Linked DNA regions of Rhinolophus ferrumequinum. The protein of the gene in region 4 interacts with the protein of the main gene of each other region in a pairwise test. Links are inferred from orthologs where the notes say so. Each region holds a gene or a part of one and is shown on either strand. Other genes may lie near its edges. The genes, in order: RANBP3, BEND3, NUTM1 and MORN4.

The links.
Region 1: the proteins of MORN4 (region 4) and RANBP3 interact in a two-hybrid assay, tested with the Homo sapiens proteins (2 studies listed by BioGRID). The two-hybrid records come from large-scale screens. The link is inferred for Rhinolophus ferrumequinum from reciprocal best matches to the Homo sapiens genes MORN4 and RANBP3.
Region 2: the proteins of MORN4 (region 4) and BEND3 interact in binary tests that used the Homo sapiens proteins (3 or more experiments, as listed by UniProt). The two-hybrid records come from large-scale screens. The link is inferred for Rhinolophus ferrumequinum from reciprocal best matches to the Homo sapiens genes MORN4 and BEND3.
Region 3: the proteins of MORN4 (region 4) and NUTM1 interact in binary tests that used the Homo sapiens proteins (3 or more experiments, as listed by UniProt). The two-hybrid records come from large-scale screens. The link is inferred for Rhinolophus ferrumequinum from reciprocal best matches to the Homo sapiens genes MORN4 and NUTM1.

The regions. Positions count from the first base shown.
Region 1 is NC_046301.1:58,230,004-58,236,869, reverse strand, and holds the start of RANBP3 (ran-binding protein 3), read right to left. Parts: upstream 3,017-6,866; 5' UTR 2,894-3,016; coding exon 2,872-2,893; intron 1-2,871. UniProt on the Homo sapiens protein: Acts as a cofactor for XPO1/CRM1-mediated nuclear export, perhaps as export complex scaffolding protein. Bound to XPO1/CRM1, stabilizes the XPO1/CRM1-cargo interaction. In the absence of Ran-bound GTP prevents binding of XPO1/CRM1 to the nuclear pore complex.
Region 2 is NC_046286.1:60,222,843-60,229,692, forward strand, and holds the start of BEND3 (BEN domain-containing protein 3), read right to left. Parts: upstream 3,019-6,850; 5' UTR 2,742-3,018; intron 1-2,741. UniProt on the Homo sapiens protein: Transcriptional repressor which associates with the NoRC (nucleolar remodeling complex) complex and plays a key role in repressing rDNA transcription.
Region 3 is NC_046289.1:70,959,508-70,967,381, forward strand, and holds the start of NUTM1 (NUT family member 1), read left to right. Parts: upstream 1-4,855; 5' UTR 4,856-4,870; coding exon 4,871-4,886; intron 4,887-6,590; coding exon 6,591-7,296; intron 7,297-7,874. Other genes in the region: NOP10 (H/ACA ribonucleoprotein complex subunit 3), read right to left, coding at 2,502-2,642, 2,941-2,994. UniProt on the Homo sapiens protein: Plays a role in the regulation of proliferation. Regulates TERT expression by modulating SP1 binding to TERT promoter binding sites.
Region 4 is NC_046299.1:26,201,561-26,209,510, reverse strand, and holds the start of MORN4 (MORN repeat-containing protein 4), read right to left. Parts: upstream 3,001-7,950; 5' UTR 2,863-3,000; intron 2,796-2,862; exon of another isoform or gene 2,656-2,795; intron 1,441-2,655; 5' UTR 1,390-1,440; intron 1-1,389. Other genes in the region: PI4K2A (phosphatidylinositol 4-kinase type 2-alpha), read left to right, coding at 7,362-7,796. UniProt on the Homo sapiens protein: Plays a role in promoting axonal degeneration following neuronal injury by toxic insult or trauma.

The DNA.
Region 1 (6,866 bases), on a different chromosome or scaffold from region 4:
CCCACTCTGGAAAGACAGAAGCCAAGAGGGCGTCTGGAGCTTAAATAGCAAGAGGGAAAGCACACTGATGGGGCAGTCCCTAAAGCTTCAAAATGCACGGCAAGGAATCTTAGCTTACACAGTGGATAAGAAATTAAACATCCAAGCCAAATCCACAAATGGAGTCAAGAAACGACCAATTAAAGGACGGCAGGGGTATGTGAAGCATAAACAGAGTTGATTTCCTGAGGACAACTATGACAGAACTAGTATCAAAGGCAAAGTACTACCGTGTTTCCCTGAAAATAAGACCGGATCTTATATTACTTTTTGCTCCAAAAGATGCATTAGGGCTTATGTTCAGGGGATGTCATCCTGAAAAATCATGCTAGGGCTTATTTTCCAGTTAGGTCTTATTTTCAGGGAAACACGGTAGGTGAGTGTGGCCTGTATTAGGCAAAAATTTTAAGTACAAAACATTCCATTCTCTATTTTACACTTACTGTTCGACTATGCAATTTACAATTGACAGCTCATGTGTCAACGTATATGCTAGAAATGGTATCCCTGGAAAATAGGAATCTGTAATTTTCCCTTTATGCTCAAAGTATACCTCACAATAAAGGTCCTCACTGATGAATTCATTCATTCATTCATTCATTCATTCATTCATTCATTCATTCGACAAACATCTCTTGGATACTTATTCTGTGCCAGGAACTGTTTAGGTATAAGGGATATCCCATCAGTGATGACAGACAGAAGGTTTTGCCTTCATGGAGCTTGTATTCTAACAGAAGGGTAGCAGTTGAACAAACAAGTAAACTTAGCATGCCAAATGGTGATAAGTGCTGTGGAATAAAATAAAGTAGGATAAAGGGGATAGGGAATGTGGATACAATTTAAAATAGGTGGCCAGAGAAAGTCTCAATAATAAAGTAATATTATTAAATATTAAAAAGTGAAGGAGTGGGCCATGGGGATAAATGTGGTAAAACTGATTCAGGCAGAGGAACCAGCAGGTCCAAAGGCATAAAGGAGGGAGTATAGAGACCACTCAAGAGACAGTGAGAAAGCCAGAGTCAGCGAGAGAGTGGTGGGAAAAGAGGCCAGGGAGGCATGGGGGGGCCACTCTGGTTTTTGGGTTGAGCAATTGACAGATGGGTAAGGGTGGAAGGGAAGCCCAAGGGGCAGCAGTGTTGGTAGTAAGTGGTCACCCTCTGGAAATGTTTTGAAGGAAGAACTGACAAGATTTGCTGTGGTGTGTAAGAGAAAGAGAGGAGTCAAGGGTGACTTCAAGGTGTTGGCCTGATTCAAAGAACGGACTTGCCATTTACTACACTGGGGGAAACACTGTGGAATGGACAGGTTCTGGAGGAAAGACAGGGATTTTGTTTGACAGGCCTATTAGACATCCAAATGGAGATGCTGAATATGATGCTGGATATGCGAGTCTTGAGATCAAGAAATTGAATGGGCCGAAGATGTAAATGTACAGTTATATCATACTGATTCCCATTCGTCCAGTCCCTCTTTGGCCTTTAAATGGATCTTATGAATGGAATGCTCAATCTTCTATGGGCTCCCTTATCTTACAACAGATATGCGCATAAAAGGACATATTTTATGCGCATATCTTTTGTAAGATTAAGGGGGTAGGAGGTTCTGAAGCCAGACCTCATTGATTCACATCCCTGTGCCTTACTGTGTGGCCTGCCTTGGACAAGTAACTTAGTCACTCAGTGTCCTCACCAAGTGCACGGAACTACACTACCTACCTACTTTATGGAGTTTCTGAGGATGAGTATTAACCAAGGTAACATACCGTGATCAAGACTTGAACAATATCTGGTACCATCCCAAATGCTCCACCAGGGTGAGCATTTATCACTATCATTCATGCATTCCTGCAGTTCAGTTTGGAAACCTCAGGATACCCTTGGATAGCTGGGAGCATGGTATAGGGAGGGAATCAGGACCAGGCAGGGAAATAGCGCGCCGGTCGCTGTGCACCTAGAAACGGAGGGAACTAAAAATAGGCCTCGGAAGTCCTGAAGCTACAGCGATACCAACACCACTGTTGATTTAAGCAGACATCGGCTTATGGAGTGCTTTCTATGGGGGATTCCAACTGGAACCTTGTCAAAAACGCTCAGGTGGGATGTCAGCGCTCCGCAGAGGAGGGAATCACACAGTTTCTGTGTGTGTCTCTCTCTGAAAGTGCAGCAAAAAGGGCCAAAGAGAAATCAGGGCTTTCAGCGGCCCACATCCTGCGGCCGGGCCTAAAATGCAAGGAGGCGAGGCGCGACTCTCAGGTCACCACGACGGAACCGGGAGAACTGGGGGCCGAGTTCGGGGTGGGGGGTGAAAACAGACCTGGCGTCCTCTGTTTTGGAGTTGGGCAGGCCCGCGGAGGATGAGAACCCCCAGGACTAGCGGGTGGGCCTGCTCCGCAGCCAGGCCAGGAAAGGGGGAAAGCCCCGGTCCCTGGGAACGAGGGGGCGGGGAGGGAGGGTGGCGTGCAGGGCCCACCACCAGGCCCAGAAGTCTATTTACATCCGAGGCCGAGGCGCTGGCGCCGCGCCTCCCACCCCCTTCAGCCTACGGCCTGGTCCGCAAGGCGGAAGGGCCTCAGAGCCGCGGCCCCAGCGGCCTCCCCGGCTCTCTGGCCGGACTGTGGCAGGGTCGGGGCTGCCGGGAGTGATGGGCCGGGCTGGTGAGCCCGGCCTGGAGGGACGCAATGGGGGGCGGCTGCGAGGCCCGCTGCGCCACTATCCCAGAGAAGATGGGTTCCCAGCACTCTGGGGTGCTCACCCGTCGGACCTGTGGTCCCTGGACCTCCCTCCGCCCGTTCCCTGACCGCCAGCTGGCCCCCGACGGCGCCTCCCCTACCTTCGTTCGCCAGGTCCGCCATTTTACTTCCTTAAGCCCTCCCACAAGGCCCCGCGCCGGCCCGGGCTCGCCTGCTTTCTGCCAGAAACTCCCGCGCGTGCGCACTTCCCTAGCCGACTCCGAGCGAGGCGGGCAGCTCGCGCCTGCGTGCTGAGTCGGGGGCGGAGTCGAGCTCCGGATCGCGGGCTGGCCTGGCCCAGCTGTGAGCACGCGCCTGCGCCCTAACCGTCCCCGCCTCCTTTTCCCGCCGATCGAGGGGGTATGGACAGGGCAGGACGCATGCGCAGTGGCCCTCCCGCGCGTCGCGGGCAATACGGAACGAGCGTTCTGTGAGCGTGCACGGCGGGCACTGGGTCTTGACGCCTCTGCTTTTTGCTTGTTTACCGGGGGATCCCCGTGGTGGGAGAGTGAGCCATCTAGGGTGCTGCGATCGAGGCCTTTTTCTAGGTAAATCCCTGGGTCTGTGGTGGGGGTACTTTCCACACGCGCAACCTGGAGGCCAGAGGGGCAAGCCTGCTGGACAGTTTTGGGGCTCCCTGTCACCCCAGGCTTAAGCTTCCCCTTCTAAGGGGCAAGTACATTGGGCAAATGCTTTCTTGAGGCCACATGGGGGAGGTGGGAGTGGTTGGGGGGGTAGCAGAGGTCAGAGGTTAAACATTACTGACCAAAGGGGTGTGTGTCAGTGGGGGTCGGGGGGCACAGGGAAGGGAGACCCAGCGCAAGGGTCTCTCCCCAGCCACCAGAATGGGAGTTCCAGGATCTCCAGACCCTGACGCTCTGAAGGGAACAACGCCTGCCGCGGAGCAGGGCCTCCAGTTTTTCTGTAAAATGGGCTGATCAATCCCACAGGCGGATGTGAGAATGTTGGACACCCTGGACTCCTTCTTGACTCAACCTGCTATGACTCTCTCAGAACACCCTGTGGACTCTGCCCCATCTCCACAATCCAGCCCAGATCCACCCGTTCACCAGCTGGACTGTCTTCACCCCAGGCCAGACCATCCTCATCTTTCTCCGGGAAGATTGGATGGCTCCCTCTCTCCCTGCTCTCCTTCCTTTCATTCTTCCAGAGGTCCAGTCTCTGTTCCGCACACAGCAGCACGCAGAGGAATCTTTAAAAAATGAAAATTAGATGAAGGGGCACATCTTTCCTTAAGGCCTCCAAGGAGCTTTCTGCTAAGAATCAATCCTAAACCTCTTATCGAGGCTACACAGCCCCCTCGCTGTGCTTTGCCCCCGTGCTTCCCTTTGCTCATTGCGGTTCAGCCACATGGGTCTTTCCATCCTTGGAGCACACCAAAGTCCTTCCAGCCTCGGGATCTTGGCCTTCGTTGATCCCTCTGCTTGGAACTGTGTCCCATGTCTCGTTTAGGTTTGAATCCCCGTTCCACGCCTCCTCCAGAGTGATCTAAACCAGGAGGTCCTAGAGCTTATGGGACACATCTGGCTTGTGAACGAAGAATGGTATTTTTAATTGTTGGAAAAGAAAGAAGAGTAATATCTCATAACATGTGAAAATCGCATGAAATTTAAATTGCAGTGTCCATAAAGTTTTATTTGAAAACAGCCATACTTAATTTATGTATTATGTGTGGCCGATTCCAGCGACGACAGCAAAGCTAAGTCCTTTGAATAGACTCTGTCTGGCCAACAAAACTTAAAATTTTATTGTCTGGCTCTTTATAGAAGTTTGCCAACCTCTAATCTAGGACACATGTATCTACATTGTTGTCCTGTAGAGATCTGTACAATCAGTGGGGGGGTGGTAAGTGTTAAACAACTGCTCTGAGGGAGAATGTGTGTGCAGTATGTATGTATGTATGTATGTCTCTGTGTGTATAGTTTATTATAAATCTTATTGATATTCTCCTATCTCTTAAGTCTAGAAGACAATAAAACAATAAATTGAACCCTGGTTTGTAGTGCTGATTTTCTTGGTATTGTTGGGGATGGGGGTGTATTTAATAACTCTTAAAAATTCCCCTCAACTTTATTTAATAGACACACGAATTCTGCTACCCTAGATTTTCCCACCAGGCTAGAAGCACAATCCACAGACCTTGAGTTAGAAATTCTCCAGGAATAGCTAGAAGGTCAATGCTGGAAAGGTCCCCGGGGATCGTCAAGTCCATCTGGTGGCCCGCAGCGCGTGGACTCAGGTTTTCTCATTTCTAACTTCTTGGTTTCATTATATTCATTATATTTCATTACATGTAACTTCTCTTGGGTAAGTCTCCTTGGCCTTTGCTGAATCTGAACCCTCTGACCTTGAATGAACTTAATATTTTTGCCTTTTTATGGGTTTAAATTTACATTAAATAGATACTGTATGTCACCATTTAAAATAGAAAACCACACACAAAAAATAGGAAACCACAAAGCTATGTATAACAAATCATTGTAGAAATAAACAGGAAAACAAAACAAGGTTTTTAAATTCTGGGTAGATACTGTATCTGCCAAGGTGCTGAGCCCCAAGCCTGCTTTTTCCTTGATGTAAAGAGAGATTAGCAAAAGTATTAGAGAGGGATTTAGGCATATTAGCAGTCAACTGAACTTTCTCCTTGACATGATGAGAAGGCGTGAAAGAGAATTGAAAATGGGATAACTATAATCCATGTGATTTGGTGTCATTTAATGCCATGTCTACATGTCTCCTAAAGTCATTTCATACGCCACAGTCATCCCACATTTTGGGGAACTCCCAGCAACATGTCATCACTTGCTAAATATAACCCAGTTGTGGTTTTTCAAGGCACATTAAGGGATGCTAGCAGGCCAACTGAATTTCCACTGGTTTCACAATTCTCGTCACAGTGCCAGCAGCTGCCAACATTGGGCCCCTTAGGCCTCCTTTGCTTTTTAAATCTGGTCTGCAACAAATTAGTCAATATTTATTTATTAAGCAAATATTTATTGATCACCTGCTGTGGTGGTTTTAAAATATGGCCCCAAATTCTTTGACTCACTTCCCAGCAGGAGGTGAGGTCTCTGTTCCCTTCCCTTTGAGGCTGTGCTTGTTACGGAACTGGAGAATCAATAACAGTACTGGAGAAATGACACTAACCTACAAGGTGAGGTCATAACAGGGACAGAGGATGTAACTTCCGCCTGCTTTGCTGGAACACGTGCTCTTAAATCCTTCAGCTGTCGTGTAAGCAGTCCAACTGTCCTGAGGCTGCCATGCCGTAAGGAAGCTGAGACCACAAATCCCGAGAGAACTGCCCAGCCTAGTACATCCCTTTCCTCACCCACAGAGACCATGAAAAATAAATGATGGCTGCTGTTATAAGCCACTAAGTTTGGGGGGGTATTTGTTACGCAGCAATATATCCAGAGCAGACCTGCTCTGCATCAGGAACTGCTTTACAGGTTGGGGCCCAGGATGAACAAGACAGCCTTCCCAGAGCTTTGCATTCTGCTGTGGGGAGACTGACAATAGCCAGGTAAGCAAAGTAATTTGAGATAGTGACTAGTGTTACAAAGAAAACAGCATTAGTGTGACAGTGACAGAAAGGGGACACTTTTGATTGGCTGGTCAGGGAAGTTCCCTTGGGTGGTGACATTTTAGTAGAAGATCTGCAGGAGAAATTTTCCAGACAGAACAGTGAGTGCAAAGGTCCTGGGGCAGGAACCAGGTTGGTTAGCTGGAGGAGCTCAGTGTAGCCAGGGCAGAGTGAGGAGATGCGGTCAGGAAGGGGTGGGCAGGGTCTTGTAGGCCACAGCGAGGAGTCTGGAGTTTGTCCTAGTACCAGGATCGCAAGTGGGAAGCGGAGGGATCTAAATGGTTTACCTTAAACGGCTCATTGGCCTCTCTGCTGCCTGCTGCTTCCTTGTTGGTTTACCAGAAGACAAGTCTGAGGTCCGCCTGAGCCCGAGCTGAGCTTTAAGAACTGTGAACTTTCTTTTCCACAGCCAAGGTGGCAAATGACTTCTGCAGTCAGGCTCCAGGAAAAAGGGCCTTCAGAGCTGTAATTCAGTTCTCATCTTCCTCT
Region 2 (6,850 bases), on a different chromosome or scaffold from region 4:
CCCCTGACCCCAAGCCTCCATCCTTTTATTTACTAGCTCCATGCTCAAACCAACAGCCTCTTGCATACAAGAAAAGACCATTAAGTGATGTTCAACTGAGCAACCAATACCTTTATAGATACTGATGCAACTGTGTTTCACTGGCCAATGATAACTGAAAATCAGACAAGAGGAAAGGTGGTCCTTGGTAGAACAAAACACTAAGAGGGCTGAATTTAAATACCTATGTTTCAAGTTGGATGAAAAATGGAGGAAGGGCATGTTACCAGGAGAGCTGCTGAGAACAACTCAGCTCTAAAGCAACAGTTTGTAAAAGTCTGGTCATTCGGGGATGAACATGCCAGGCAGTAACCATCACTCGGAGGGAACCAGCACGTCTCCTGTGTGACACACCGAAGGCTTGGTGCCAGCCAGCACGGAGAGCTCTTAGCTTGGCATGTGGGGGTCATGTGTGGCAGCTACCGTGTTTCCCCAAAAATAAGACCTGCTTTTATATTAATTTTTGCTCCAAAAGACGCATTAGGGCTTATGTTCAGCGGATGTTATCCTGAAAAATCATAGTAGGGCTTATTTTCCGGTGAGGTCTTATTTTGTGGGAAACACGGTAGTTCCAGAAACCACAAGGGCTCTGGGCTGAAATAATAATGTTGAAAGAGATACTGGAGCATCAGAAGGGGGAGAAGAGCAATTGTCCAATCTGGAGGGGAAAAGACACAGCAAGAGCAAGGTGATGTTCACAAAGCACATTAAAATATCCATGTTTTGGGCATGTGTGCTTTTGGGGACTTTAAATTTTATTTTTTAAATTATATAGTAAAATTCACTCTGGGGGAGAGAGGAATGTACAGTTCTATGAAAGGACACATGTATACATCCCTGTAACCACGAGCGAGAGGAGGCTATAAAAAAGTTGTCACCCCAAAGATTAATTCTATACATAATTCCCCAAACTTATTTAGCCAATAAAGGGCACAATGAAAAATAAGGGTAGCAACCATAATCACCACTTGTCATCAAAATTAAGTGCCAGAAAAAAATGCTACACCCCAACCTCCCCTACACTAACACTAAATTGCTTTTGCTGGTTGGCTGGAAACCTTCATGTGTTTCTACATTATAAAATTTACATACCCCCAAACTTTTCATCTCTGGTAACAACCACATTCAGTGGCGGGAGTTTTTGAGTGTCAGATTTTAAAGGTTCTGGTTTGATCTGTGAATTTCAGTTCAAGGGCCATGCAGACGGGTTAACCCACCAGCAGGTTCAGGCTGCACTGACCCCACCTTTCTTCTGGAATCCAAGAGGCTCTCCATTCATTTAGCAAATACTTATTGAGCACCTACTAAGTTAGTGACTGGGGATGTAAAGCGGTTAAGACACAAAATCTTGTGCAAAACTCAGTACTGAGAGTGAAGGAGGCAGACAGGGTCCTATATGGTGATACAAAACCATAAACTAGGGACAGTAGGCTAAAAAAATAAACTCGGGGGTGGGGTTAGGGGTGTGGACACCAAAAGAACCTCCTCCATCTCCTCAAGCTTACATACAGAGCTAGCAAGAGCTCACTTCCTTGCCTCAGTTTCCTGCAGCTGTAGTGTTCTGGCACCTTACGTGTTGTGTAGTGACACGTTAAGCATTCAAGTTACTTTAAATAGGTGAAATTGACCATTTACGACTCTCAAGTGCTTAGCCCTATTTTGCGCACTCTTGTCTGGTTAGCGTTGGTGTGTAAAATTCTTCCAGACAAGCCACCTGAGCAATCAAACTCTTACCTCTGAAAAACCACCTTGTGTCTCGGTACACAAGTCCTTACAGGAAGGACTGCACAACTCACCGATAAGGCGAGGGCAAAGTCTGCGTGGGAAATCACGTTTGCAATAGAGAGGGAAAGGCAGGCAGGAGCAACGGCGAGCGCCCCAGGCTCCAGTCCGCGGCCGGACGGGAAGGCCTTGCGCCAGCCGGGGTGCACACCCAAGGCCGGGCCCGCCTCCAGCTCCCGGGCAGCGGGAACCGCGAACCGCGCCGTGGACGGTCGGGACGGAGCGCTGCGCCCCCTGGCGGCGGGGCCCATCTCCGTCCGCTCCCGGCCGCCGCCGCCGCCGCCGCCGCCGCCGCCGCCGCGGGCCGGCCTCGCTCCATTTACAGACTCCCGAAGCAGCGTCCTTCCGAGCGGCGGCTCCTCCGGCCTCCCGCGCCCCGCTCGGCATCTCGCTCCAGTCCCCGCCCCCTGCTCCGCTCTGACACCCCCTTCTACACGCCGAGCCGTCCCCCGCTGCAGCCTGGCCCAGCGCGAGCGCCGAGCCCCCGCGGGCTCCGCAGAGCCTTTCCGGCGGCGCCGGCCGCTCCATCGCGGCGCCCGGCGGGGGTGCTGGGCCGGCGTGCGGCGCGAGTGGGGCGCGCAGCGGCGCCAGCACGGACCGTTCCACTCCGCGTTCCCCCCGCCCCCGCGCGGCGCGCGTGCTCCCGGGGACGCCATGGAGCCGCGGCGTTCCGAGCGGCACAAAGGGGCGCGCGGCACAATGGGCGCGGTGAGCCCGTGGGCGCCGAGCGCCCGCTCCGGCGGCTCGGCCCTGCGTGGGGGTGGGCGCTCCTCCCGGCGGGCGCGCTTAGGGCAGCCCCCCTTTTCGTCCCCTCCCCTGCTCCCGCCCCCACCCCGGCATGGATGTTGCAGCCACTCTCCCGTCCGTCTGCCCTGGAGCCGCCGCCACCGCGCAGCCGGCTTGATCCGCCCCGCACTTACCTGGGACACGAGTTCTGTACTTTGCTGAGCGGGCCCGCGCCGAGTTTGGGCGCCACGTGGGGTGCGGGGGAGCGCAGGGCTGAGGAGTGGGGGCCTCGCGCGGAGGGCCTGGCCGGGGCGGCCCGGGGAGTTGCTGGGGGCGGCGGGCGGGCGCCGTGTATTTTCCCCTCTCTTTGTGTGTGTCCGTGCGCTGCGCTCTCGCGTGACGTGACGGGACTCCGTGTGTCATTTCCGCACAAGGACACAGGAGCCCCCGCTGCAGTGGAACCACAACCCCTCCGCCCCCACCCCCGGCCTGCCCCTCCCCCTCAGCGGGGCACACGCGGGACCGGCGGCGGCGTTCGGGCGTGAACGGCCGCGGCGGGGAGCTGGGGCGCGCACTCCAGGGACCCGAGCGGCCCGGCGCGCTCCGCCGGCGCCGCGCTGCTCCACGTGGGCCCGCGCCGGTTGCCCGGGCGGGGGCAGCGGTCGCGTACCCACGACGCGCTGGGGCAGCGCTGGCTAACAATGTCCTCGGCACTCTGTGTGTTCTCCCCCCGCGAGTCATTTCTCTAAAACGTGGTTGCTCAGACCCGAGGAGTTTGACCTGAAAAGCCTCTTTTTCTACTTTTTTTTTCTCCGCGGGACGGCGACTGTGCGGGGCGTTACCTCCCCTAGAGCCAGCGCCAGTCCCGAATTCTTGGCATTTCCGCGGTGCCCTGGCCCCCCCGGGCGGGTGTTCCCGCGCCGAGCTCGGCACAAAGACATCGGGGCGCAGGGACCCCAGTGGCCCCGGCGGAACCGGCATGGAGTCGCGGGCCGCGGGAGAGCGACCCTGGCGCTGGGAAACGCTGGCTCTGGCCACTCCCCCAGCGGAGTGGCCGCCCTCTGTTGTGAGCCTGAGAGCTAAACATCTGCCTTTTACTTGTAACCCTAAGTTTTAAGGTTTGAGGCTGCAGAGCGAGAGATTCAGAAGTGCGCGCGCTCCCAGACCCACATGCCAGACAAACCCACGGGATATCTGCGCCCAGCGCTTAAAATAGAAAAGCACGCGTCACCATTTCAATAAAGGCTGATTCTTTAAACTCCTAACTCCCGGATGGGAGAGTTCGACTTGATAAATATGCAACCTGCCCCTCGAGTATTTTCACAAGTCTCAGAGACTTGAAGGGGTGTGGTGTGTGAGGGTCAAGGAAGCCCAATTCAACAGTTAAACCACGTTTATACTTTAAGCAAATAACGAGAATAAATTTAAAAAAGAAACTTTAATTTGCCGATCGAAGAAAGTATAAGAAGAAAAATGCAAATGATCCCATCTGCTGCTCACAGCTGACTGGCTGCAAGACACGACCATGTGGCCCAGCCCTGTGTGGTCACTGAATAGGTAGAATAGATTTTAAAATAAGGCTTATGCTGGCTCCTTGCTGCCCAGTCGCGGAGAGGGTTTGATTTAACGTATAGTTTTGGATTACCTTATCCTCCAGAGCACTCCAACTGGGAATTTAGTAATTATTCAAGTTCCTCCCCTTCAGGTTTGAAATCCAAAAGCACTGGGTTATTCAAGACCTTTGAAGAACTACGTGGAACATTCTCGAACTGTATTTGGTAGCCCATTTTGAGAAGTCAGTACTAATGGCTATGCAAAATTAGCAAGCTGCCAGGAGAACGGAGCCCTGCACCGAGGGAGTGGTTTTATAAAAGAATCTATACGTGCTCAGTGTCATTCAAAACAGGATGATGAAAAGAATGGGGCTGAGATAGCAAGCAGCCCTTCAAATTCAAAAGACTTGAGTCCCCTATCTACATTTAAAATAGGGTGGAGGGAGGAAGGGAGGAGGACCGCTTGGGGGTGAATGGTTAATTTATACATTCCCAGAAGACAGAATGGAGGCACTTGGATTTCTGCCGGGAACTTGACTTTTACACTCGCACATTAAATAACACATGATATAGTAGTACATCGCTTGACTTATACAGATACAGCAGTCTCACCTTCAATTTAATATGACAGCCATAATTAGAATTTAAAAAGTATAAGTTGCATTTCATTCGTTCAGTTTTCTAAGGTTTCCCAGTAGGAGAGTTAGGAAGAGTTAAGACGTATTTGAGCTCACTTAGCATTTTTAAAGTGGATGCAAAGTGGTTTAAAAATGTAAAATGACCGTGTTAAATTTTTATAAAAGGAACTAGATGAAATGTGTGTTGTGAAGCATTTATCTTTAGTCAGTCGTTCCAGTGACAACTCAGGTATTTAAGGATAAATTAAATAATAAAAGACAATAGGAATTAAATAATAGAAATTAACATTTCTTTGTTCATACTGTTTGAAACCAAAGATTTTTCTCAAATACAATAATTTTACTAAAAAATAGCATCTAAGGCAAACAAGATGCTTAATTGACATAACTGACTTCAAAACATCTCTCAAGAAATTACAAAGTGACCTTGAGAATTATTGTAAATATGTATCCTAATTTACACAACTGGATCAATCTACTTAACAAAGCAAGCTGTTTATTCCAAATAAATTATTAACAGAAATAGAAATCATTGCTATCTAAGAAAGGAAACTACCTACCTTCAAATGATTTTGTATATTATGAGTTTCTTTTTTTAATGAGCTAAAAAACAGAATGCAACTGAGTAAATTTGAAGAATTGGCTTTATTAAGCAATTCATGAATTGGGCAGGGCCCCCATCTAGCAACTAAAAAGGCGCTCCAGGGGTTGTACAAAACTGGAAGGATTTTATAGGAAGAAGGGTGGGATAAGGAAACTATTAACAAAAGAAAAGAAAGGATTATTTTTTAGGCCAGGACATCTTTGGGGGGAGGGGAATGGGAAAGGTTTTTATCATGCAAATTGCCTCTTACCTTACTGGTGCTTGACCAGAAAATTCCAGACTGGTTGTTTAAGATTATATTTCTGGGAAAGGTTGAAACTGTAAATAGATCAGATATTAAATCTAGGTTTCGTGTCATGGGCTTTTAGCACAAGTGATGCCATTTTAGGCCTGTGGTTTTTGTCTTAACAGGAGGAAGGGAAAATAGTACATGAAGGTGTAACCCCCTGCATTGGAATAGTTGTATTTGCAGTTGTATTTTGGAGTCTTAAAAATGAATAGTTCTGAAAGTGCTATTGGCTAATAGTAATGCCTTATGGAAAAAATATGAATAAACATGGAGTAAGATGAGGAGAGGAATGAGGAAGGGAAAACACAATTTCTGTCCAACCCAATGCTAAAAAGTCAGGAGGAATGATAGACCAGGCTTCGTAAGGATGTGCAGAAAGACCTGAAAAAAACACCAACCTGAGTTTTAGAGGTCTGCTTGATTGGAAATTTCTTAATTAGAAATGCATTTTCCAAGATTTCAAATTAGAGCTGCTGCAACTGATCTAATGAACTCATTTCCAATTTTACCTGAGTAAATGCAGCTTGTTGGTCATATAAAGGAATCCTATAAAACACTAAAAACTCGAATGCAAAAAGAGTGGGATATAATGTAAATATATATCATTAAAAGTGGCAGACAGACATTAGGTTTCAGATTATCTTTTAACTGTTCCTCTAAAGGTTTTATCACTGCTAAAATATATAGTTGCCAAGACAATATTTACTAGGGCTTTTTTTTTCTTCATTAGTTAAGTCTTAAAACAACGCAACAGATTTCACTGTGATTTGTGAGACATTTTCACTTTGTTTCTTGCACGCTGGGTGCATAATTTTGCCAAGTCTTCAACTTCAAACAAAGTTGCTGGCACATCCAGATTCTGTAACTACTCAAAACAGAAGTAAGAGGGGAAAAAAAGGAGGGGCGGAGAGGCATGTATTAACTTTATTAAAACAACTTATAGAAAGACACACCTTGCTAAATAACTTGCAAAACTGACTTTTGGTTGGAAAGTTGGGCTCGGGGAGTTGAGTTTGACCCATTGTGTGCTGTCGGGGGGAAACAACTACCTTCAGTGGAATTCGGAACAGGTAAATGACACAAGGCGAAAAATGAGGTTTAGAATGAAAAGCTGCAGAGAATTTGTGATGGGCAGTTTTTCTTATGTGTAGAAGAACTATTGAATAATTTATAGCAGCTTGAGATGTGATGCACCCAACACAGCCATTAGGATCTGGTT
Region 3 (7,874 bases), on a different chromosome or scaffold from region 4:
ATCCTTAGTAATAAAATCAGAACTGTGTTTAAGACCTGAACCAGGAAATTCCCTTTTATCAAATGACACACAAAGTCCACACTCTGGTTAAAAAGATCCACATAACAAAATGAGAAATAATCTCCACTTAAAATGTAAACCCCCTCAAAACTAGGTGCTTTATAATGCTTGTGCCTATTAATTCAGGCTCAGTTTGTTGTTGTTGTTTTTCTTACAGTGTAAGTTTACGGTAATTGCGTGGAGATATTAATTTCAGGAGAAAATAAGTTTCCATCCTAAAGAACTCAGACCCTCGCCCAATAAGGCTCCGTTTCCTACCTTGAGGCAGCAAGAAAGTCACCTCCCTGAGGGATGTTTTTTTCCTCAGGCAGGCCTGTTCATTCAAATCTCAAAGACTTTCCCCTTACAAAGAAATGCTGGCTTTCTACAACCAATTTTGCTTCATACACAGAGTGTTTTCATTAACTTATATATACTACCTAATACCTAATAGTATAACTCTTAAGACTCCCATTTCTGAGCACGTCTCAAATGTTAATACCTAGGGTACCAAGGAAAAATCCTTGGTATATTCAAACCAGTTTGCCTTTCTTTTCAAATTCAATTCAGAATATTTCCATGTTAGTCTTCTCATTTCAGTCTACACAGAATGTAGCATGGAACAAAGCTAATCTTTCTTTGGGGAGGAGGAGTAAATTATAAGGACAGAATTACTGTCAACATTAAAAAATACTGGTAGCAGATTTGATTAATTGATTTTGGTGCTTAAGAAACTTCCAGAGCAGATCCTTTTTCTTTTTCTTCTGAATTTTTATGAGTTTGACTCAAAACTGACAACAATGCCAGGAAACATCTGCTCAGCAGCTGCTTTTTCTAGCCATTTGCAGAATTTTTAATATTTCTTCAATCATTATCCCCTTAATGGGGCAAGAAAAGTCTTTAAAATCCCTCAGATCCAATGCTAAGAACCTGTAAGTGACTAGGCTAAGAAATAAAAAATTATTGACAGGAAACAAATATTTTGTTTCACCATTCCCATATGTTTAAGTAAATAATTGACTTGAAAATCATGTCTTCTATTAACTGTGACCCAAGTTTAGATATTTTTTCTTTTTTTCTCAGCAGTCAACAACTATCCTGAACTTCTCTGCTGGGATGGTCAGACATCAGATTCCAAGAGAAACATATCTATCCCTTTGCAGGGCCAGTCTGGATAAATCAAATTTGTGCTGAGATAAGTTACATCTGCTTCTGGAGTCTAGAATCTTGATGCAGTAGAAAAAGAAGATTGTAAAATTAGAACACAATCTCCACAAAGCAATTCTTAAATCTGTGGCATTAAGCAAACATTCAAATCCAATGTCAAAAGCCATGAATGAGATGATTGGGGACATGAGCGGATTAACTTGACAAGGTGAGGTAAAAGCAAGCTAGCATTTCTTGAATGCCAGCCAGTATACAATATTTTGCCTCATCATCCCTCTAATATAAAGCAATTGAATTAAAAATTTATGGTTGCCCTTTGACAGAAGCTCAAATCCTTAAAAATCTCCCAGGTTTCTTTTGTTATTAACCACCAACGATAGCTTGAAAAACAAAATCTCCACTTCAATCTCTCATACCTCATCTTTTAAATTCAGATCCACGTAGAGTTCCACATAGCAGCTAGCTCCCAGAGAGAATATAAAGTTAGGTGTATGTAAGACAATTCCTTGATGGAGAGAATTAAAAGACTGCGACTATTTCCAGAGGAGCAGTAAATATGCACAGAGGCATTCATATTCATAATGGTGGAACAACACTGTGGATATATATCCGCCACTGAACCCAATCTGTTATAGAGTTGGAAGAGAACTTAGAAATGAAGAAAAAATTGGGACTAAATAGGTTAAGTGACTTTCTTAAAGTTATGCAGAGAGGAGCGCATCTTGGTCTCCTGACTTCCAATTCACTGCTTTCCCTCTACAATATGGTTGCTATTATTTTCAAGCAACTCTTCCATTTTAAGTCAAAATGTCACTTCAAGGGGAATGATAACAGGGGTATTTTTCTGTAAATGCTGACAATTATGTAAATCTTTCTCAACCTTTCTTTCCCTTCCCCAACACCCTCCTGTCACTAATACAGCACTACTCCTGCTACAGCAACGACTTAGGATTTTCTTCCAAGTATTGTTGTGCCCCTGGGTACACTTCCCTCCCATCTCTCTTCGTTTTTTGTTTTTTTAAACCACGTCCTTCTTCCCACAACATACAAAATAAGAGCTCTTTCAAATCATTTTAATAACCAGACAGTATGTCAAAACAGGAAAAGAAGATTCAAACTTGTTCCCTTTAAGGTGTATGCTACCATGATTGCCTCGCACAAACATGATCAAAGGTAATGTTGACACCAGATTCCAAAAAGAAAGGGTGGTAACAAGGCATCAAGGCTCACAGATTGCAGCGCTTGGGTTCGGAAAGTCTCAGAGGGGTAGCAGGCGGCATGAAATTAAGGGACCCTCAGAGGACAGGGCGCGGTTGCTGGGTCATCAGCACCTTGAAACGTTTCTTGATGGTGATTCGGTGTCGAGAGTATTTGTCGTCTGGGGAGAACCGAGCAGGATGGGCCGAGCAGGTCTGTTGTCCCGTGGGGTCAAACTTCTGCTCCAGGAAGAGAGAACATAATCTCAGTACAGGTGTGGTGAGAAAACTCAATCACTGGCGTCATAAAGGAGATGGAGGCTGGGATGGGGAGGGGGACGCGCGGAAAATGATCATAAGGAAGACAGAAGACGCGACGGTCAAAGTAGCACTCATACACTCCAGCTACTACCTTACCACGCCTGGCTTCTGGGCTTTCCAACTCCCCCCACTCAGCTAGGCAACTCCGCGGCTGGTCTCAACCGCTCCACCCACCTCCACTTTTCGCCATGCCTATTTACATGTTTCCTTTTCTTACCTTCAGGGTATAGACCCGCTCTCCCTGTTCATTGAGGTAATACTGGAGAAACATGACCACGATGAAGACAGAAGCTCGAATTCCGTCAGCAGCTCAGTCTAACAGTCTCTCGTGTTTGCCAACTTCCTTCCTGTGTAGCCGGAAGTGTCTCTCTCAAGGTATGCTGGGAAATGTAGTTCATTTTAGGCTTTTTTCCAGCTGGGCAGAAGGGGGCGCACTAGTGCAGGACTTGGCCCAGTTGCAATCCAGTTGCAACCTTGTAGACTTTGGTGCCCAGTTGCAACTTTGTAGGCCTTCTAAAACACATGGAGGGTGCCCACTGTGTGCCAGACACTGCTAGGCGTTAGAGGGGGATAGGGATGGATATGAGTTGAACATTAGTGAATAGAATCCTGTCTTTATCGCAAGATGCACACCCATATCAGGGGCAGTGGATTTATAGTGCGTTGAGAAACAAAGAGCTCCAGGATTCAGAGCCCCTTTACCTTATGGAAGAGGGAAGGTTTTTCTTCCCTCCCCTCTTTTTCTATCCGGTTCTCCGGCCCTATTTCAAAATATTGGCGGTAAAGAGTGCATGATGGGTATTTAATATTCTGCACAGCAAAGAGAGCGTGAAGTTGTTTTATGAAACTGGTGAAGTATGTTTTAGTGATCGAACCAAGATTCAAACTCAGGTCTCTCTACCACAAACTCAGCGCTTATAGTGGTGAGTAGCTAATAATAGCATAATAAGATGTACCTTCTAGGGGTTATTTCGAATGTTTTAAAGAACGTGTAGAAATTCTCCTTATAGGACTCTAGTTTAAAGAAATGAAAACTGGAGCCCAGGTAATATTACAAAGATGACCTTTGCAGTATTATTTATAATGTCAAAAACATTGGAATATACATTAATGTTATAACCAGGAAACCTGAAAAAAAAATTTTTTTAAAGAAACGTAAAACGTAATGATAATACGTGTTTACTTGCAGTGCATAAAATATCTCTGCAAGGATTCACAGGAACATAATATTGGTTTCTTTGGGAACAAAGAACTTGGTTCCAGGGGAAAAGAGTGGGAGAGGGAGACTCGCTGTACACTGTTTTGTATAGTTTTACTTTAGACCCATGCTAATGTAGTTCCCACTTTAAAAATTAAAATTATTTAATAAAATTTTTAAACAAAAATAATTTAACAAACAAAAGGACTTTTTGGCCTTGAAATTTTAGGTTGAATGCCTGTCTTTGATAGAATGGGGCTTTTCAACCAAGGGTTAAGGCTAAACCTTCTGTGGACTGCAGAGCTGATGGTGGACTATTTGGGAACTGCAGGACAGCTTTCCAAGGAAATGATATGCATACAGCAACCAAACACCCTGGGTCTTCCCAGACAATCCTAATTTCAAGCACTCCGTTCTCCAGATCCTTAAGTACACAGACTGTGTGTTCTGAATTTGGTTCAGAAAATACAGCGAACATTGAATTAAATCAAGGGTCTGCCACAACCTTCTATTAATAGGAAGTCAGTTACAGAACTGGGTGGGATTTAAGGGCACAAAACTAAATATACTGGTGAAGAATTGTGTAGGGAACGGAGATGTACTAATAAAACTATAATGTTGGGAATCTGAAAATTTACAAATTGCCCTAAAGAGGTAGACAACAATTGTGTTGCCAAACTCTGGTTTGGTGGGAATTCCTGGTTACTGCCAATTTACCAGAGCCTGCTGTCGAATATCTCCCTACCCCAGCCCCACATTCCCCTATCCCCTCCCCCACTGCAGACTTCCTTGAGTTCTAGATTCCAGTTCTGTTTTGATCTGATCTTTATCCTCTCCTCCTTGGATCCCTGTGTATCTACTGGAGCCAGGTTACTCTCTGGGTCCTCAACCTGACTGTCTCATTCTGGAGGCTTCCAGACAGCCACAGCTAGTGTCCAAACCTGAGAGGATGACTTCAGATGGAGGTAAGTCTGCAGGTGATGCAGAGGGTACCCCACCCCCTGCCACATCCTTGGGGATTCAAATTTGACACTTTACCTGGGGACAATAGGGGTCTTTGTACTGACCTAGAGGGACATGAGAATATAGATGCTACCAAAAAAACAATCACACTTGGAGAGGCTGGGAAATAAGTTTGTGCCATGAAGACTGGGGGTTGGGAAAAAAAAGACTGGGGGTTGGGGAAGTAAGAGGGCCCTCTGGGATGCAGATCTAAGTACCTCAGAGGAAAGTGCTGAGTATAGAGAAGGGATGGCAGTTAGCAACTTGCTTCTCTGGAAGAGGGACCCCGTTCAACATGTGTTTGTGTGGCAGGGGCAGTGGTATGTGTGGCACAGAGAGGGTTCAAGTGGAAGTCCCAGGATTCTGGGTCTTCTTTTGGTAATTGGAGCTTGTTCTAGAATTTTCCCCTGAGAGAATTGTGCTGGGGTCACTCTCGATGTATTGGGGGGTCAGGGTGGGGTGGAGGTCTTAGCTGGAGAAGCTGTTCAGTGGGGTTATCTGTTGCCAAGTCTGTGGAGAAATGCCTTCCTGATAGCTAGACTGGAAGGTACTATAAGTGCCTCTGCTCAGAGCCTCATGGCTCCTTCCAGCCCCAGAGGTGGCTTCTCTTTCAGTTCAGGGAGGAGTTCTCCTTGATTCCCCCAGAGCTAGAGGAGGTGGATCACTCCAGCCAGAATGAGAGCTGGGGCTTCCCTGAGAAGCTCTCAGTTTTTCTATTTTTTTGTGAGGCTCACACCTTCAGTCCTATTTCATTGCATCCGAACTTCATGGAATACTCCTGGCCCTCTGCTCTGTTGTCGAGATGACACATTTGCTCATATTCCGTGTCTCTTTCATGGTCAGGGAGCGGAAGCTGAGTGTTGTTAGTTTGCCAGGGGAATAGTCTTTATAAGAGGGGGAGGAGAGTAGCATGAAATTAGGCAGATGATCTATTATTATTATAAAAAGTCCTAGGAGACACATGTCCTGATTAAGTAACGTTTTATGTATTTATCCTCGGTCTCTGACAAGAGCCCACATAAGCTCCTTCTTAGCAGGTACTGTTTCAGACTTCATTGTCAGTGCCTTGTTCTTGGTGGATCCTATATTTCTGATAGGGAATCCAAGCTGGAGGACCACAGATAGTCTGCAATGCCAAATTTTAACGTGTCCACCAGCTACTTAAAGCTCTGGAAACCTCCCTCCCCACACAGCCCTCCCCTTGTCCATATCCTGGCCCTTATCTCTAGTCATTTTTAGCTATTATATAACAAAATTTCTGAGAACCAAACATCTGATCCACACACCCTCTCCTGGGAACAGCACTTCTGTGAGTGGTGGCAAGGACCACAGACCAGCTGGGAGCAGAGTTCAGGTGGTTTGAATGGGTTTGGAATTTGTATGACTATATATTCCAGATGTACCTGTATCCTCTGTGGGACGTGTTATGGAGTATGAGCTCATGGGTCCAAGAGTCACTGCTACTTCTCTAGTGCAATGATTTCCAACCGGGAGTAAGGAACATCAAAATCACTTGCAAACTACAGACGTTCCCCTCCATATATACCCTTCCTTACCTGTTGAGAATCAGAGCTCTGATTTTTCAGTAACTGAAGTGCAACTCTGATAATGTAGCTTCTGGTCTGCTTTTCTCCTACTGCACTCCCTCTTTTTCTTTGTCTCAACAGCATCTCCATTGCCTGGACCAGATATGACCATGATACCTGGCACCGCCCTATCTCCCTTCATGGCACTTCCCTTTCCCCCACCTGCTCCTGGCCCACCAGACCAACCACCCTGGGAGCTGCCTGCACAGCCCCCTATGCCTTCAGCTTTCCCTCCAGGCAACTCTTTGATGCTCTCCGCTTTCCCTAGCCCAATGTTGGTGACAGAGGATGGGGGCCCTGGCCACAGTGGGGCTGGAGCTGGCAAAGTCATTGTCAAAATCAAGACAGAAGGGGGGCCAGCTGAGGCCTCTCAAACTCAGAACTTGATCCTTACTCAGACTGCCCTCAGTTGGATTGCCTCAGGTGCTCCCTCTGGGGGCCTCGAAGGTCCTCCTCCTCAGTTTGTGACAACTTCTAACATGAAGACCTTTCTAGCTACTAAGGCTGTTGGAGTGAGCCAGGAGGGCCTCCTAGGCCTTCCTGCTCAGACTCCACCGTCAGCTTCCCAACTGGCTCTCCCTGTGTGCCCGGAAAACGCTTGGCCTGTGCCACATGGGGCAACTGGAGGAGGTCTGCCAGCCACCCAATCCCAGCCCTCACTGGGTGACCTCTCCTGTACCTCCAAGGGTGTTTATGAGAACTTCCGACGCTGGCAGTGCTACAAAGCCTTGGCCCGGATGCACTTATCCCAGAGTCCTGATGCAGAAGCTCTTTCCTGCTTTCTTATGTAAGTGGGGAGACCTGAGATTAATTATCCTAGGGCTTTTCAATAAGGAGGGCTTTGGGATGGACAGAAGAGGTTACGCTATAGGAATATTCAAGGGCAGGTCATGAGGGTGATGGAGAGATGCTCTGAGTACCAAAAGCATGATGATGATGATGATGACGATAAGCCTTTTCAGTTTTTAGCAAGCCTTCAGTTGTGTGCTCTCAAGTGATGCTCACAACCCTGTGAGTTCAGGCAAGCATTTAGTCCTCATTTATAGATGAGAAGACTGAAGCTCAGAGAGGTTTCCTACCATACAGTGAGGAGCAGTGGTTGGAACTTGGGTCTTTGACACTAAGTGCCAGGTCCTCTCATTCTATTTTAACACCTTCGGACATTGAGTTGAGCCATTCTAACGGGCCAGGATAAGGTGTGACTCATTCCTGTGGGAGAGGATGGTGCGGGACCAGACAAAGGACCTTCTGTGCGTCACCTCCTCCACCGCTCCCTATTTTATTCAGGAGAATTCAAATCAAAATGGGGAGGTGGTAAAGCTTGCTGAGGTGAAGGGCCTAGGCAGCACCACTCTCTAGTTTTGG
Region 4 (7,950 bases):
AATCTGCTTGATAAGACAGACCCCTGACCTTCCCCTAAGGGAAGGTAAACTTGCCTGAAATAATCCATTCTTTTGCCCCACACTCTTTCTGCCTATAAAAACCTTTCAGTTTGTACAACTCCTCGGAAATACCTTTCTATTTTTACTAGATGGGATGCTGCCCAATTCAGGAATCATTCATAAAGCCAATGAGATATTTAAATTTACTCGGTTGAATTTTTGTTCTTTAATAACCCTAACTATTTCAAGGAAGCCAATGAAACCTGAAAGATTATGTTCTTATAATCAAATGTGACAGACTGTATTTTCTAAAGATGTTTGCAAACATACCTCCTGTCTTACACATTCTTCTACAATTAGACCCTGCCATTGCCCCACCAAAAGTGGACTCTAACTCCTTTCCTTTGAATCTGTGTAGGCTTATGATCTTATGATTGTTTTGACCAATAGAACATGATGGAAGTGATGGTGTATTCTGAAATTAGATCATTAAAGGTCACGCAACTTCCATCTTGCTCACTGGTACACTTGTGCTGGGAGACCTGAGCCACCACATAAGAAGTCTGACTACCCTGAGGCTACCAAGCTATGAGGAAGCTGAGCCACACCGACAGCCACAGGTATTGGTGAGCCGGTTGGCAGGTCTCATCTTTGAATCATCTTAGCCCAGGCATCAGGTGTGAGTAAAGGAGACTTCAGATGACTCCAGTCCCTCTGCAAGCCATTAAGCCTGATCACATCTGAGGTATCTGTGAGCAACATATGGTTGTTTTAAGCAGCTAAGTTTGGGGTAATTTGTCATACAGCAATAGGAACTGGAATATCATCTCTCAACCTAACCCTGCCACCATCCTCTCCTATTTGTTTTCAAAAGTCCATACTGTACTACAAATTTCCATTCCTTTTTGATCTAGGGAGGTAGAGCAAACTCCCTTCAACAGTTGCCTGTCAAAGTGATGTCCATTCCCAAGAATATAATCAGAAGTGCTAATTAAAGGGAACACATGTTGACTCCATGAGTTTCAAGCCATGGTTGAACACACTTGACTAGAAACTTCTACCTATGTCCAAATAATGGATATTGTCACTGCCTGGAATAGTGTCAGGATTTTTCATTTATGACTTCTGTAATCAGCCATGCTAATTAATGGTCAGCTGCATAGCCACTGACCCAGAAAGAAATTTCACCAGTCACCATGGTCATTGAGACAAATCTAGCTTAAAAAGTATAGTTAGTGCTGATGAAGATTGAAAACCCAATACTTTAGCAAATCAGTACGTGTATCAGTTATTCAAAAAATCTTTTTAAATAAAATGGAGGGCCTATGAGTTTAGGCTTCAGCTATACAGAGTCAAGATAGTTCATGCTTCTTCTAAACAAATACCCACCCTTCTGCTCTCTTGCCGGATGGGTTGCAAAGGATCAATCCAAACATCTATCTGAAAGGAAATTAGTATTTTGTCCGTGTAAACTAATACACTATTAGTCTGCACAACAGACTATATCCCTGCTAGTTTTCTTTTCTCCTGACCCAGACATTTCCAGATAGAAGTTGGAGGCAGGAATGGTAACTTTTGTTTCCATTCCGTTCGTCTTTTTTTAAATTTTAGAAATCAAACTTGTTAAAAGAATACGTATGCTTTCATAGTAACCTGTGCCCCAGTTCAGGATTAAAAAAAAAAAAATTCACATAAAGGGGAACAAATTTTCAGTTTGAGAATATTGTTTGGGGGCAGCCACTTTACCCACATATACCTTCAACACTGGCCACCCCCTCCCAAACCACCCCTCCCAAAGTATAACAGTCTTGCCAAAGTTCCTTCAGTTATAAAGAAAGCAGTTTTTAGGCTTTCAGACTCCTAAAGACAAGAAAATGAAGGTTTTGATGAACAAAGATTAGGTTTGGAAGAAACCCAGAAGAAAAAGCCAAACGTTCTTTTTCTCCCCCCCCTTTCTTCCGCCCCCTCCGCCCCACTCCCGTTCAAGTCGTTGTTTCTCAGTCTAGTCAAACGTTCTTTTTAAAGTGTTTTACATGAGCTTGAATTAACTGTTTTTATAAGTCTGTACGTCTCTTTTACTGTAAGTCTCCCTTCTATTAGAAAAGTAAACTAAATGTATCACTACTAAAGTTCTTATTTATGAAGACTGTGGGACAGTTAGATTGAAGAAACTGAGAAGAAAATCCTGACACCAGAAAGAAAGTAAAAAACAAACAAACAAACAAACACTCGGGAGTAATGGGGACTGCCAGGATACCATTCTAGTTCATGGTTAAGGAAAATGCCATGGTTAAGGAAAATACTACAGTAATATAGCCGAGTTACTGCTGCTGATACCTAAGCATTTCGGTGATGCCACCATGCTGGGATGCTACCATCAACTAACTGAGGCATCCCATTCCCCAAGACTTGATGTGTGGGGACATCTCCCCACGGGAGTGTGAGAGAGGCGGGCCCAGAGCAAACAAAGCCCTAGATGGCAACAAGGCAACACTTTCTGGTCCACTTCCCCTTTCCTTCAACCACCCATTCGTGCCTTCCAGCATTGCTCTTGCCCTCTACCCGGGTCTGCTTTCCCTCCCGGGCCGGATCTTCTGCTCGCACAAGGTCTGCCATCTGCTCCAGACACAGCCCCCAACCACTCCGCTCGCTAACCCCCGTGCCACGGGCGCTCCTGGGCTTCGGCACCCAGCGGTGGAGACGCGAGGCCCGGTTTGGGGACTTCGGGGCAGCCGCCCTCCGGTCAGCGCGTCGAGCACGGAGCCGCGCTCTCCAGCCCATGTCATCTAGGGCTGGGTTCCTCGGTCCCTTCCTCACCGATCACACTGTCCCAGCCCCTTCCAACCCGCACTGCCAGCCAACCTGGGCTCCGCCTTTCTGGATGACGGTCACGCCCCGACCCGGGGCTCCAGCAGCCCGGACCTCCGCTCCGCGGGGTTCGCCCCTGCCACCTGCCTCTCCGCCACCTCCACCAGTGCCTGCCCCACTTGACGCCGCCATCCCGGGTAGCCGCACTGGGCACAATTCCCGCTGCCCATTGGCTGTTACCTAGGCAACCGGGAGCAACGCCATTCTCCATTGGCTCAGCCTGGATTCGGCGCCATCTTTGTGCGGGGCGAAATGTCTCGAGAACCCCTCTCAAATATCCGAAAGAGGGGTGGGGCTGAACTCCGGGTTCCTCCTTGGCAATCCTGATGAGAGAACTCGGGTCTCGCCTACCCCGCAACAGCCTAGCCAAAATGTGAAAACCAAACCGAACCAAACCAAACCAGCGTCAGACACAACAGTGACCACCAACTCAAGCGGCTTCGATCCTGCGCGGATCTCCATGGTTGTAAATGGCCCGGCCGCGGAGTTAAAGGACAGAACCTAAACACGGCTTTTGAGGTGCAGCTTTGTAAATTGCAGCGCGTTGGACAGGGCAGCTGTAGTTCAATGTGTGTCGACTCTATGCCAGCACTGTGATATCAGGACACGTTTGCATTCTTTGTAGGGATTTGTGTTGTCGATGTCGTTACCCAGGTCCTTTGTCTTTAAAATACCGTGCCAAGATTGGAGCAAATCCTCCAAAATACTGCGCACGCCAATCCGTTTATCTATATGTTTATTTACTGAACAATGGGAATGCAGCGTGCTGCTAGGTTCTGCCAGTCTAGAAAAGACATGATCACTGTCCTCATGTGACTTACTGCCCAAGTGTGGAGAAGAAAAGATGCATGCACGTGGAAAAATCCTAGACTATATTTAACTATTAAAAGAAGGCAAACGCATGAAGAGAGTAAGCAAATTGTTTCTCTGAAGTGAGATTTTTCTTCATTTGTACGATGGAAAATTATAACGATGATGATAAAGGCAGCCTAGGACTTGTTTGAGAATACAATGTCAAATGCTCAGTACTATGTCTGAGAAATTGCAAGGGCTCACTAAACAGTTTTAAAAGACTTGGATTCTGTGTTCAAATCCCTGCCACCAACTGGGTGTAGCTTCAAGCGAGTTATTAAACTCACAAGCCTGTAAAATAAGATTGGACTAGAAGACCTATAAAATTCAATCCAGCTCTAACACCCAATGGTTAAACATGATAAAATTGTGTGGTATTGACTATTGATATAATTACAGCAGTTGAGAGAATGGAATGTTAAGAAATCAGATTGGAGAGTCTGTATTAGAAAATATGAAGAAATAAAGTTGTGGTCAAGTTATAGAGAAACCTGAAAAATTAGAGAGAGGGTATGGTTTGCAAAATGTAGTTTCTTGAATAGGCAAATTCACAGAAAGTATTAGGTTGGTGCAAAAGTAATTGCAGTTTTTGCAATTATTTTTAACCTTTTAAACCACAATTACTTTTGCACCAACCAGTAGAATAGAGGTTACCAAGTGCTATAGGAAGATAGAGTTATTGTTTAATGAATACAGAGTTTTTATTGTCTTGATGAGAAAGTTTGGGGTAGAGACAGTAGTAATGGTTACACAGCATTATGAATGGATTTAATGTTACTGAATTGTACACTTACGAATGGGTAAAATGATAAATATTATGTATATTTTGCCACAATAAAAATGTAGTTTCTTGACCAGAGCAGTGACACAGTGAAACCAGTGTTTTAATAAAATTATTCTGGCAGTGATACACAGAGATGATCAGAAAGAAATTGGAGGGGGTGCGGTGTTATCACTTTGTGAGGGGTATAAATGTCTTAACTATTACATTGTTTTGTACACCTGCAACTAATAATAATAATAATAAAGAAATTGGAAGCAGAAAACAAATTCAGAAGCTATTGTAATAACATAACTAAGACATCCTGGAATGTGGCATCAGTGAAGATGGAAAGAAGGGGGATAAATATGAGACATATTTTGTAGAGGTATTTAATAAGAAACAATATAGTGTGGAACTAGTCTGCTTGAATTTGGATCCAGCTCTGCCACTTCCCAGCTGCATGACTATAAGCAAGTTATTTTATTCAGTTTCCAACATCACAGGGGCTGTAATGCTAGTTATATAACTTACTCCATGTAATGCACTTAAAATAATATCTGGCACATGCTTATCATTTGGTAAGTGCTAAGTCTTCATAGGTAATAGGGAATGTATTGACACTCTTTTCGGTAAAAGGAAAGTCAAGTTCTGAGAAGTAGATGCTGAAACATATTATAAGGGTTTTCCATAGAGAAAACTCAGAATTCAAGGGAGAACTCTAAATCTTGGAGCTTTCCTTGACCATAATTTGCAGCTTAGGGGCTAAATAAGATAATTAATACAGGAGATCATCTCTGTGGCTGTGGCCCCTAGGACACAAAAGGCAAATATTACTTAATTATTTGGCGTTTGGGTAGGAAAGGGAACTACATGTCTTGTATCTGAAAGGGGGTAATTGAACCATCTGTATGGCCATTTGCTAGAATGGTTTATTTGGCAAGAAAATGTTTAAGACATTGCCATAATATAACTAAACAATTCAGTACTTCTAGTTAGCTCTGCCAATAATTTGATTCAAGAAAGAATTGTTGAACAAACTAAAAAAGAGTCTGGAGGCTTTGGCTAGAAATAAATGATAATGATTTATTTAAGGGTCTTAGGGTTTACAAACCCAAAACACAACTAGGCAAAAACCCAGAAGTATTCTGAAGAAAAAAAGGAAAGTTAAGAGTTCTTATAGTAAAAAGTGCATTCTTAAGAATAATCAGTTCTGTATTCTTAGCCCTAGGATTGGCCCAGGGTGGTTATCAGTCAGCTATCACGAGATCTGGATGATGGATGCCATGTGATCTGGAAGATGGGTGCCAAGAGGTCTTGTCACATCCATGGTCTGGATAATAGATGTCAGGTGGTCTAGATATGTGAGTCTTTCAGGCGTTATCTGGAGGTTTGGTGTATGTCCATGAACTGATGTATATCCAGGCATTGATACAGGACTAGAAAGTTCAAAATTTAAGTTCCCAGGCTAGTTCAAACAAGAATAGACTAATGTTCTCATGCCTCAACCAACTTGATTTTAGTAATTTAGCGGCTTGACTATAGTGACACCATTTTATTTCTTCACTCTGTTCTCCAGAATGATTATGAAATATTGTTTACTATGTGGCTGGTCACCAATTGTGAAAATCCATGCTGATTACTTTAAGCACAAAACCAAAAGCATCAACAATAACCTCAGCAGTGATAAAAATCTATCATTTGTTGAGTGCTTTTTAGGTACGAAGTGCTATAAGTTCTTTACATATTTATCTTGCTTCTTATTTAATCAATTGAAGAGGAGATGATTATTCCCATTTTATAGATGAGGAAGCTGCGGCTTAGAGAGTTAAATAACTCATAACTAATAAATGTGAAGCCAGGGTTCAAACTCAAATATCTGTGAGTCCCTCTTTTCTCCCCTTTTTCCCCCAGTGATTTAATTACATTCTTCCTTTAACAGTTAGATCATAGCACATGCCCCACTTAAGGCCTTTACTGACTCTCCAGCCTACCTCCAAATTGCTGAACTCCTATTATGGAGTTTTCAGCACTTATTGTTGGCTCTTTTTCTCCTACTGCGTCAGAGAGCTGTGTGGCTTCAGCTTGAGGGCAGGGACTATATCATCCTTCTCTTTTTCACTGATAACCATGTACTGAGCATCTACTGTGCCTAGACACGGAGGATTTACAGTGATAAATAAAATAGTCATGGACTCTTACCTCATGGAATTTTTGTCTGATAGGACCATGTATTTCCTCAATTAACAAACATTGAGCTTTGGGCCAGGCACTGTGTAAGCTGCATGAGGGCTGGGATTTTAAAAAAACAACAACAGACCTTTTTATTTAGGTAGAGCAGGGATTTTTGTTTGTTTGCTTCACTGCTGCCTCTCCAGCACCTAAAACATAGTAGGTGCTCAATAAATATTTAATGACTGCATGATTGAATAAATGCAGATACAAAGATTAGATTTTTCCAGTCTTACAGCTAGTTCGTAGCAGGCACGCAATAATTAGTGACTGATTAAGTAGGCTACTTTGAAAACTCTCATAGATAAGTCAGCGATTGAAAGCTAAGGCGCGGGCGGGGCGGGGCTGGTAAGAACTGAGGGCTCGTCTGACCCAAGTTTGTCTCCTAGAGCATGCGCAGTCCTCACAGAAGGTGGCGAGCAAAATATGCGGAGGACGGGATTGCGTAGGCGCTGGTTCTGATTGGCTAGTGTTAGCGCGCGAGGGGTCGTGCCTACGCGTCGCCAAGTAAACAGGGTAGGTAGGGGCGGGGCCAAAGAGGCACCGCGAGCTGGTTGGCCCGGTGGGGTTTGGAGGTATTGCGGATTGGTCCCGGACGGGATCTCAGCTGTATGCAGCGCGCCGGGTCCCGGAGCCGGCGGCCTGAGGGATGGACGAGACGAGCCCACTAGTGTCCCCCGAGCGGGCCCAACCCCCGGACTACACCTTCCCGTCCGGCTCTGGAGCTCACTTTCCGCAGGTGCCGGGGGGCGCGGTCCGAGTGGCGGCGGCGGCCGGCCTGGTCCCGTCTCCGCCGGGCTCGCCAGGCCACGACCGGGAGCGGCAGCCACTGCTGGATCGGGCCCGGGGCGCGGCGGCCCAGGGTCAGACCCAAAGTGTGGCGGCGCAGGCCCAAGCCCTGGCCGCTCAGGCCGCGGCGGCGGCGCATGCCGCGCAGGCCCACAGCGAGCGGAACGAGTTTCCGGAGGACCCCGAGTTCGAGGCGGTGGTGCGGCAGGCAGAGCTGGCCATCGAGCGCTGTATCTTCCCGGAGCGCATCTACCAGGGCTCCAGCGGAAGCTACTTCGTCAAGGACCCTCAGGGGGTGAGAGCGGGGTGGGGAGGGTGGGCCTGTTCAGGGGAGTTTAGGGTTTCGCACAGCCAGAGGGAGAAGGCCGGGGGCGTTGAAAGAAAGGTTGCAAAAGGGATAAACTTCACAGTGCGGAGCCCCTTGGCAGGATTTTGGAATGCCACGGAGG